Coturnix japonica: one gene and its partner. The protein of the gene in region 1 interacts with the protein of each later gene in a biochemical or structural test. Links are inferred from orthologs where the notes say so. Each region holds a gene or a part of one and is shown in the gene's direction. Other genes may lie near its edges. The genes, in order: CRYAB and CRYBA1.

The links.
Region 2: the proteins of CRYAB (region 1) and CRYBA1 form a complex in vitro, tested with the Homo sapiens proteins (2 studies listed by BioGRID and IntAct, with this or other methods). The link is inferred for Coturnix japonica from reciprocal best matches to the Homo sapiens genes CRYAB and CRYBA1.

The regions. Positions count from the first base shown.
Region 1 is NC_029539.1:5,449,340-5,453,704, forward strand, and holds the start of CRYAB (alpha-crystallin B chain), read left to right. Parts: upstream 1-1,385; 5' UTR 1,386-1,588; coding exon 1,589-1,786; intron 1,787-1,862; exon of another isoform or gene 1,863-2,796; intron 2,797-3,331; coding exon 3,332-3,454; intron 3,455-4,365. UniProt on the Homo sapiens protein: May contribute to the transparency and refractive index of the lens. Has chaperone-like activity, preventing aggregation of various proteins under a wide range of stress conditions.
Region 2 is NC_029534.1:4,740,112-4,744,485, forward strand, and holds the start of CRYBA1 (beta-crystallin A3), read left to right. Parts: upstream 1-1,286; 5' UTR 1,287-1,386; intron 1,387-1,409; exon of another isoform or gene 1,410-1,530; intron 1,531-2,120; 5' UTR 2,121-2,287; intron 2,288-3,049; exon of another isoform or gene 3,050-3,606; 5' UTR 3,607-3,765; coding exon 3,766-3,796; intron 3,797-4,223; coding exon 4,224-4,288; intron 4,289-4,374. UniProt on the Homo sapiens protein: Crystallins are the dominant structural components of the vertebrate eye lens.

The DNA.
Region 1 (4,365 bases):
GCCGGCGGGGTGCAATCCTGCACCCCCTGGCTCTCCACCTTGGGCAGGGAACAAGAGGCAGGAACAGGGCACCCAGCACTGCCCCTGCCAACCCAGCAGGGCACAGGGCTATGCCTAATGGTGGCTGATGCTTGGTCAGGTTGTGTGCAGTCATGCAAAGTCATCGCTGTGAGTTTATCGCTCATATCAACCCCACAGAAAGGGATCTGTTTCCCCCAGAAGCTGAGTCTTTTGTTCCTGGGAGTGGTAAGGTGCTGCAGACCGCTAAGTGGCACTGAACAGGGTGCAGACCATGATGCTGACACTCCAGAACTGTGCCACTGTGAGCCAGCTGACCAGGCTGTGCCTTGGCCAGGGCTTCAGTGCTGCTCAGTGGGACCAGAGAAATGCCTGTGCTGGAGGTGGTGCATTAACCAGAGTCTGAAACTGGCCTAGATCCACTTTTACTAAACTGGGTGTTAGTACCCATTTAAGCTCCTTGTACTCTGAAACCAGAGATTTCCATGTCTCTGCAGTGCGAGAGAGCAGGTGCACTACTGCTGACGTAACATGGAACTGGATAAAGTATTTATGGCTGGGGCTTCTGCAGAGAGAATTCTACACCCTAATCTTGCAGGCAAGTGAACAGGAAGAGAGTCGAGCCCTTTTGCAGGGGACCGGTGGTGCTAGCAGTGAGAATCATGTGCCCTCAAGCCAGAAGTCTGTATTTAAGTTGCAGATAATCAGAGCTCTTGTCCTTAAAGGACAGCTGCTGGGCTGAACCCAGCCTCATGATCTGAACTGATAGCTGCTGGGCACAGGCAGATCAAGGTAGTTTGCATCCCAGAGAAGGCAAGCAGTGGTGCAGCTCTGCAGGGCTGCTGTGTGCCTGCTTTATCTCTGCTCACAGGGTGCTGGGCTCTTCTGCCCTCTCCAGCAGAGCGATTTCTCGAGTGGGCAAAGGACAAGAGTTGTCAGCTGATGCTCTGTGGAAACCATCCTTAGTGTGCACACACCAGCAGGTGCTCAGGTATGGTGCTCACCAGGCTGCAGAGCTGCACACCAGGGTACCTCAGCACAGACCTTTTGGGGTCCATGTTGCCCTCTCATTAAGGCCTGGGGCTTCCTTCACTTTAAGGGAAGGCAGAGCCCTTCCTTGGCGCGTGGGTGCAGTGGGGAACTGTAGCCTTGGTGCCGTCACTGGGAACAACAGTCCCTTGTCCTTTTCCATGTGAACCAAAGATAGGAGCTGCATTGATCCTGCTGGCATCCAAAGCAGCTGGGAACATCCGCCAAGCCTGCCTGGGACTCAACAGATAAACAGCACGTGGGGTGCAGAGAGGGTGGCTGGGCAGCTTGGCTTCTTGCTGTCCCATTAGTGTCCTTCTTCTCCCCTTCCCCCTCCTCCTTAGCAGTCTGTTCAAACCCCCGGACGCTCCTGGGCACTGCTGAAGGGACCAGTCCCGGACTGGGACAATAAAATCCCTGACACCACTATTTGAGAGGCCTCGGGGGGAGAGGCCCCGCCAGCCGCACGGGTATAAAGCTGCCCCCTGTGCTGGGCACAGCACCGCAGCAGTTGTTTGCTTGGCTCCTCTGTCGCACTCCGATGGATATCACCATTCACAACCCCCTGATCCGCAGACCTCTGTTTTCTTGGTTAACACCGAGCCGTATCTTTGACCAGCTATTTGGAGAGCACCTGCAGGAGTCAGAGCTGCTCCCTACGTCCCCCAGCTTCAGCCCCTTCCTGATGAGATCCCCCTTCTTTCGGATGCCCAGTTGGCTGGAGACGGGACTCTCAGAGGTAATCTTCCTTGCTTACTGTTTCTTGTTACCACTAGGTGCACATCCTGACGGGTCTGGAGCTGGGGACCCGGGAGAGCTGGGACACTGCTTGTAGGTAGTTAATAGGAAATCTATTATGAGGAAAAGAGTGCTGAGTTCTTGCCTCTGCTCCTTGGTGTTAGGCAAGGACCTCTGCACTCTCTGCTAATCACTTGTAACTGAGAGCAAATATTGCCACAGCCATGGGCACAGAGACAAACTGAGCTGTGTGTGTGCTGTGAATGACTGTAGAAGCCAGCAAGAGAAAGGAGGAAGCCTGATTTCTCTGTCTGCCCTGAAAAATTTTACATTCTGCGTCCTCCTGAGAAGCAGAGGGGCAGTGGGACCCCGTGCCAGGCAGCATGGGAGCCCCCAGATGCTGAGTAGAAAGGCCCAAGCTAAAGCATCTCTGCCAGGCAGAGCAGTGTTTTCAGAGAGATATGGGATGGGAGGACCTTTAAATGGCCATCTGCTTCGGGGGCTGAGGCACGCAGCTCAAATGACTTTGCTCAGCATGCAGGTCAGATGCCAATGTGCAAATAACTTAAAGAGTTACTCAAAGCCAGTGGAGTGAGAGGGAAGTATTTTCTTAATCTTTGCTTAATGTTTCCCTTGGTTTAGTCACCTGGTCTGGTCATATGCTGAAGCAGCCATAATAAGCACCACAGGTAACAACATCAACATCTGACTTTTTCAGTGGAGAAATCTTCACAGTAATCTAGCAAAAGGAGCAGGAAGCCCTCCAGGTAAAACTGAGGAAACCAGTAACCAGAAAGCTAGAACTGGCATGGAAGCTGCCTCCATGTCCCAAAACAGAGCTGCAGGAGGCTCGCGTTTTCCCTGACTGTGACTGCAGCAGGAAGGCAGAGACAGCCAGCCTGCATTGCCGTGTCCCACTGACTTATCCAAGACAGGCAGAAAATGCAAATTCAACCTCAGGAGCAAGCAAAAAGCAGCATTTGCTGGAGATGATAAAGTGCAGAATGGAAGGTAAGGATGCAAGATGAGCAGCAGGTGACTCAGAGTTTCAGCAGTAGCCCTGCTGCTCAGATAAGAGGGGTGAGCTGGTAGTGCTGCTCAGCTGAGACACGCTATTTTTGTTTTTAAAGAGTGACGACGCAGGGGAAAGCCTGCAAGTGACACAGATGAGCTGCAGCCAGCTGCACACTCTGTTTCTTTTTCCAGAAAGACTTAGCAAAATCCAGCTGCAGAGACTGGAAATCTCCAGACACCTCAGAAAAAGTAGATAGGAGTCAGTTTTAACAAATTCAGATTGAGAAAGTCTCTTTCTTATTTCCCAGAAAATATCTATTCTCTGTTTATCCAGAGAGAAAGCATCATGTTTTATGTGCTGTAGTGGTGGGCATGAATGGAACAGGCTAGCAAGAGCCAGATGAGAACCCCAGGACTGAAAACAGGAGGTCAGACAGTGCGTGTGGGGAGCCCAGCGTGAGCGTGACTTGCTGCATGTTGAGAGTCTGATGAAGCTGAAACCTCTGCCTGAAGTCGTCTCCTTGTTTTACAGATGCGACTGGAGAAAGACAAATTTTCTGTAAATCTTGATGTGAAGCATTTCTCCCCCGAGGAGCTAAAAGTGAAGGTGATTGGGGACATGATAGAAATTCATGGGAAACACGAGGAGCGCCAGGTACTTCTGTGTCACTGTTAACCAATGTGTGCTTCTTCACCTATGGTTAAACAAGGAAGCTGCAGAACAATCCTCCTCTGTGCTCTTCTGAAACACTTCCAGTGTTTTTGATCAACCAGTCCTAATGGAAGATGCTCTATGCAAACCCCCAGCTGATCCCAGACTGGGCAGCAGCAGAGTGGAGATTTAGTGCTGGTATTGCATGAACTGTGAACTGAACTGGAAAATCAACTTTGAAATAAGCATTTCCGGGCCTCCCTCTTTCTGGAAGAGGACAGGAATGCAGAGAAGCATTCAATAAGTTAACAATGAGCTGTAATAATTAAACCGCATAACGAATGAATGCATTGCCATGTTCCATTAGCAAGAAGCTATCTCTTCTTGAAAAAATACCCATTTACCAACTTACAGTCCTTAAAGGCTGTACTCTGCTGTCAGCCATCCCATTGCTTACTGGCTCTGTGGCAAAAGGTCAAAGAGAGGCCAAAAGCCACGTCCAAAGCTGTATGTAACAGGGATTACCTATCCTCCTATCCTTGCAAGAAGGAAACAAATCCTAAAGTACCTGTATCATTGTACCCATCAGCTCCAAAACTTCTGGGTGCCCAGATCTGTCAGTCAAATGCAGCACTACTCATAGACACTGGAAGCCTGTAATTCTGAAATAGCTTCTGCGGGGTTTTTTTTGTTTGTTTGTTTTTTGTTTGTTTTGGCTAAGAAATGAATCCAGAGCTAGAGCTGAGATGAGCTCACTGGGGAGCTGCATATGCTGTGGGCCCTGGAGACCCTCAGGAGGAGGAGCTGCTGGTTCTGCAGGTAGCTGTAACTCCTGCATCTTAGCCATGACAGCACAACACTGTGAAACGAAGCTGGCAGACACAAGAGCTGGAGGAGAAAGCCTCATCCTGCAA
Region 2 (4,374 bases), on another chromosome or scaffold:
GCTGCCTTGTGGACACCATTGGATGCATCAGGACAGCGTGCTACCAGCCTTTGTCTGAAGCGGGATTTTGGGGGCTTCCCATGCAAGAAGACAGCGACAGAAGTCACAGCTTGACGGCAAACACAGCCCAGTGCCTGAGAGCTCCAATGCATCACCACGGGGTGGGTGAACCTGGCACCAAAGCAGCACAACTGCACAACCTGGTCCTTACAAAACCCCACTGCCCGGTGCTGTGGGAAGGAGGGTCCAGGCTCTGGGATGCACCATGCAACGAGGTCACCGGCAGCACGAGCCATTGCATGGTTTGTGTGCTGCCCTCACTTTGCAGCACAGCCCTGCTTTGCAATGTGCCCCCCAGCAGGGCCCAGCCCACAGCACAGGGCTCAGCTGCAGCTCGTCACAGGGCAAAGTCCAGCAGCAGCACAGCACTTACACCTGGCTCAGCCCAGGGCAGGGGGTGGGTCCATCCCCCCCAACACCGAGGGACCCCGTGGGCACAAGGCCTGGGCCATGTCCTGAGCCCACGTTTTTCAGTGCTCGCCCTGAGCGCAGCTGCGGTACCGGGTGACCAAACGATTTGCATCTCAGGCTTTGCCGGCTGCAAACCGCACCGCTCCTGGACACGCGTCCTGCCAGCCCTCACTCGCTCTGTATGCTGCACCCCAGGCAAAATAACACGGGGACAAACCCCGCTGCAGCCACAGCCCCTCCGGCCCCATGCTCTACCCAAAGCGCCCCTCGGGCAGCCCGCAGCCCCCTCCCAATGCTATAGAGATGGGCGAACGGCTTTACAATGTCATTCCGTAACGGTGCGGCCGGGGGGGGGTTGGTGGCAGGCCGGGGGGGTGCGCACCCACGGCACGGGCACCCACTGGGGACACAGCAGCCCCCCCTGCGGGTCACAGCCCGGCGGGGTGCGGGGTGCGGTGCCCCACAGGGTGGGTTTGGGATGGGGGGGGACGCAGCATTCGCAGCGCGGGGGGAGGAAACGCGCACGCGGGGACGCGCGCACACGCGCACAGCGCTGCGGCCCGGCCCGTGCGGGGGGTGCAGGAGCGGCGGCTCCGCCCCGGTGCCGGTGCCGGTGCAGGAGGCGGCGGGTGCGGCGGGCGCTCACTCACCCGGCGGTGGCGGCGGAGCGGGGCCCGGCCGTGGCGGTGCGATGCGGGGCGGGGCGGTGCGGGGCGGCGGTGCCGGGCCCCGGCGGCGGCGGCGGCGGCGGCGCGGGGCGGGGCGGGGCGGCTCCGCACCGGGGCGGGCACTGCCGGCTCTGCGCGCGCCGCCCGCTGCTCCGGGTGCGGCCCCGAACGGAACGGAACGGAACGGGATGGAACGGAACGGGATGCAACGGGATGGAACGGGATACAACGGACTGCGGGGCTGCGGGTGGGTGTCCGTGGTGACCGGTAACGCGCACAGCCCGGTGCCCGCCTCCACCCGCTGGTTGTGCACACATTGGGGGCACCCTGCAGGGCACGCACCTGTTCACAACGCGGGTTGAACACACACCCCCCTCCGTTCCCCCTCCCGGTGAGCGCAGTGGGTTGCACGCACACCCGCATTGATGCACATACAGGGTGCAGCTGAGATGCTCCGTTTAGGAAGGGAGCAGCAAGGAGCGGAGCTGTGAGCCTGCAAGGGGAGGGTCAGCATCCCCATGTGGGCACAAGGATGGAGCTGGAGGCCCCGCAGCAAACCACGAGCCTTTGCTGTGCCCTCCCACTCGTGTCAGTGGGGTTTAAGCACAGCCCAAGCCCAAAAAGGCTGCAAAAAACCCCCCACGTGGCCCATCCTGAGCACTGTGAGAGCTGTGAGGGAGCAGGGACCACCCCATAGACAGCCACAGGGACAGCAATGTGGCCCTTCTCATAGTGTGCAGGGGCTCCCGGAGCATCACACACCTCTGCACGGCCACGGAACACGGCCTGCAGCCCAGCACACACATGCAAGATCCCACTGGATGCCAGCAGCTTCCTCCAAGCACGGGGCTGTGCCAGCCATTGGCAAATCCTGCACTGCACGGCATTCCAAGGAGCAATGGCCCTGCGCTGGGCTGGGGGGAGGCATCTGTTCCACAGCACCACGGGGCTTTGCTAAATAGGTCACTGCTTTTTTTATAGGCTCCAGGATCTAGAAAAACCAGTTGTTCCAGACTGCCGGCGGACCTGGCAACGTGCTGCTGGTGCTGGTGGATCCCCAGGTGCTCTCACCGCCGTTCTTCCCACTGTCCTCAGCCATGAGGGTCACAGTGTGAGTGGGATGATGGTGGATCCCTGAGCAGCACTGGGTGAGGCTGTGGAACAGGCAGAGGTGTTGTTTGGGGCTGGCTGCCCGCTGCAGGCTGTGCCCATGGGCTGTTTGCAGTGTGGCTGCACGCTGCCGTCCAGCCCTGTATATTTATTCTCATATGCCGGCTGCAGGGTGAGCTCTCCCTCTAGTGGCACCCAGCTCCTGGATAGCCAGCCCTGTGGGGTTGTACGCAGGGCATGCATGGGGGCTGTGGGGTGCTGCGGCCATGCTGTGCTCTGCACCCCTATGGTGACCCCTTTGGGAGCAGCAGGACAACCCCCACACCGCCATCAGTGGCCTCGTCACACTCAGATCTCATCCCCACAGTTCCGCTCTACCACCCTGACCCCATTAAATACAAGGGGCCACACAGCACCCCAATGCTGCCCCTAAAAGTAATGGCACCCCATCTCCCTGCAGGCACCATCCCAGCCCTGCTGGATCCCCGCAGGCCTCGCGCCAGGCCGGGCTGCGTTCCGCGCTGACAGGGCGCTTTGTTTTGTGCCGAGCAGACAAAAGGGGCAGTCAGACGCGGGCGGCGCTTTGTGCTGGCGGCCATGAGCTGAGGCAGCAGCAGTCCTCACTGCCACGCTGCCTCCCAGCACCAGCAGCCATGGCAGTCCGGGCCTGTGCCCACCATGGTGCCCCTGGATGGCTGGAAAGGGGAGCAGGGCCTGTTTGCCATGGTTACTGTGAGGCTTTGGGCCTAGCTAGGCCTCACTGTCATAGTTAATATAGGGCTTCAGGGCCAGGTAGGCCTCATTGCCATAGTTACTATGGGGCTTCAGGGGTAGCTAGGCCTCTTTGCCATAGTTACTATGGGGCTTTAGGCCTAGGTGGGCCTCTTTGCCATGGTTACTGTGGGGTTTCAGGCCCAGGTAGGCCTCGTTGCCATGGTTACTGTGAGGCCTAGCACCTCTGAGGCCCATGGCAGCCCCGTGCCCTCACAGGCTTGGCATCATCTATGGGCCCAGGGAATGAGCAATGGAGACCAGGAGGCCCCGCAGCAGCTCCCACCACTGCCCCACATCCTGCTGTGGTGTGAGGAGGGCTGGAGGATTCAGCCACATCATGGTGTCCTCGCTGCCCACACAACACACAGGGCAGGGGGACCCCAGACGGTGCCATGCTGCTTCCCACCTGCCCCCCCGGGCCAGGCCAGCCCCGTGACGGCGCTGCATTGCCCCTGGAAAATGCCAGAAGCGTCAAACTGTTGAGTCATTCACTCCCAAGATTATCTGTACAAACAGCCGTTCCCGATTATTTTTGTTATGATCTTTTTATTTTCCTTTTCTTTTTTTTTACCCCCCAACCAAGAATGTAGCCCGGACCATGGGGATGAGCTGCTGAAATCTCCGGGGATCAGCAGGACAATGCCAGTGGGAGCATTGTGCTGACTGCTCTGCAAACGCTGGCACCGGCTCCGGGCCAGCAGCACCCTATAAAAGCTGAGCCGCTGAAGTAGGCAGACATGACATGGGCGAAGCAGCTGTACCGCCTGAGCTAGGTGAGTCCTGGGGTTGGCCTGCCCCATCCCAGCCCCGCTCGCCCCGTTGCTGCCTGGCGCAGCCCTTCCTCTGCCCAGTGGCAGGAGAGGTGCCCAGAGGGTGACATGGCCCCATTGGCACAGTGGGTGGAGGGCAGCCCCATAGCTAGGGGCAGGTCCACACCCTACTGGCATGGCACCCTACTGGCACCCCAGGCTGTGAGTTCCTGCCATCCCGACACTCCTGAGGAAGGAGTGCTCAAGGGAGGAACAAGAAAGGCAGGGATGGGAGCGGGGGTCTCACGGACCCCCCAAAGCACAAGGCAGGCTGCAGGAGGAGGGAGCCCACGGCTGTGCCCCTCAGGCTGTTCCGCAGCTGACGAGGGTCTCGCTGGGAGCAATCAACAGGGTGTTCTGCAGCACCAATTGGTTTTCCTTCCTTCTCCAGACACCTTTCCAGCAGCAAAGATGGCTCAGACAAACCCTCTGCCTGTCCCCATGGGCCCATGGAAGGTATGTCCTCGTATGCCCTGCATCTCAGGTGGGAGGTGGGGAACAGGACAAAGCCAGTGCTCCCTGGCAGTCCTTTTTGCTGTGCC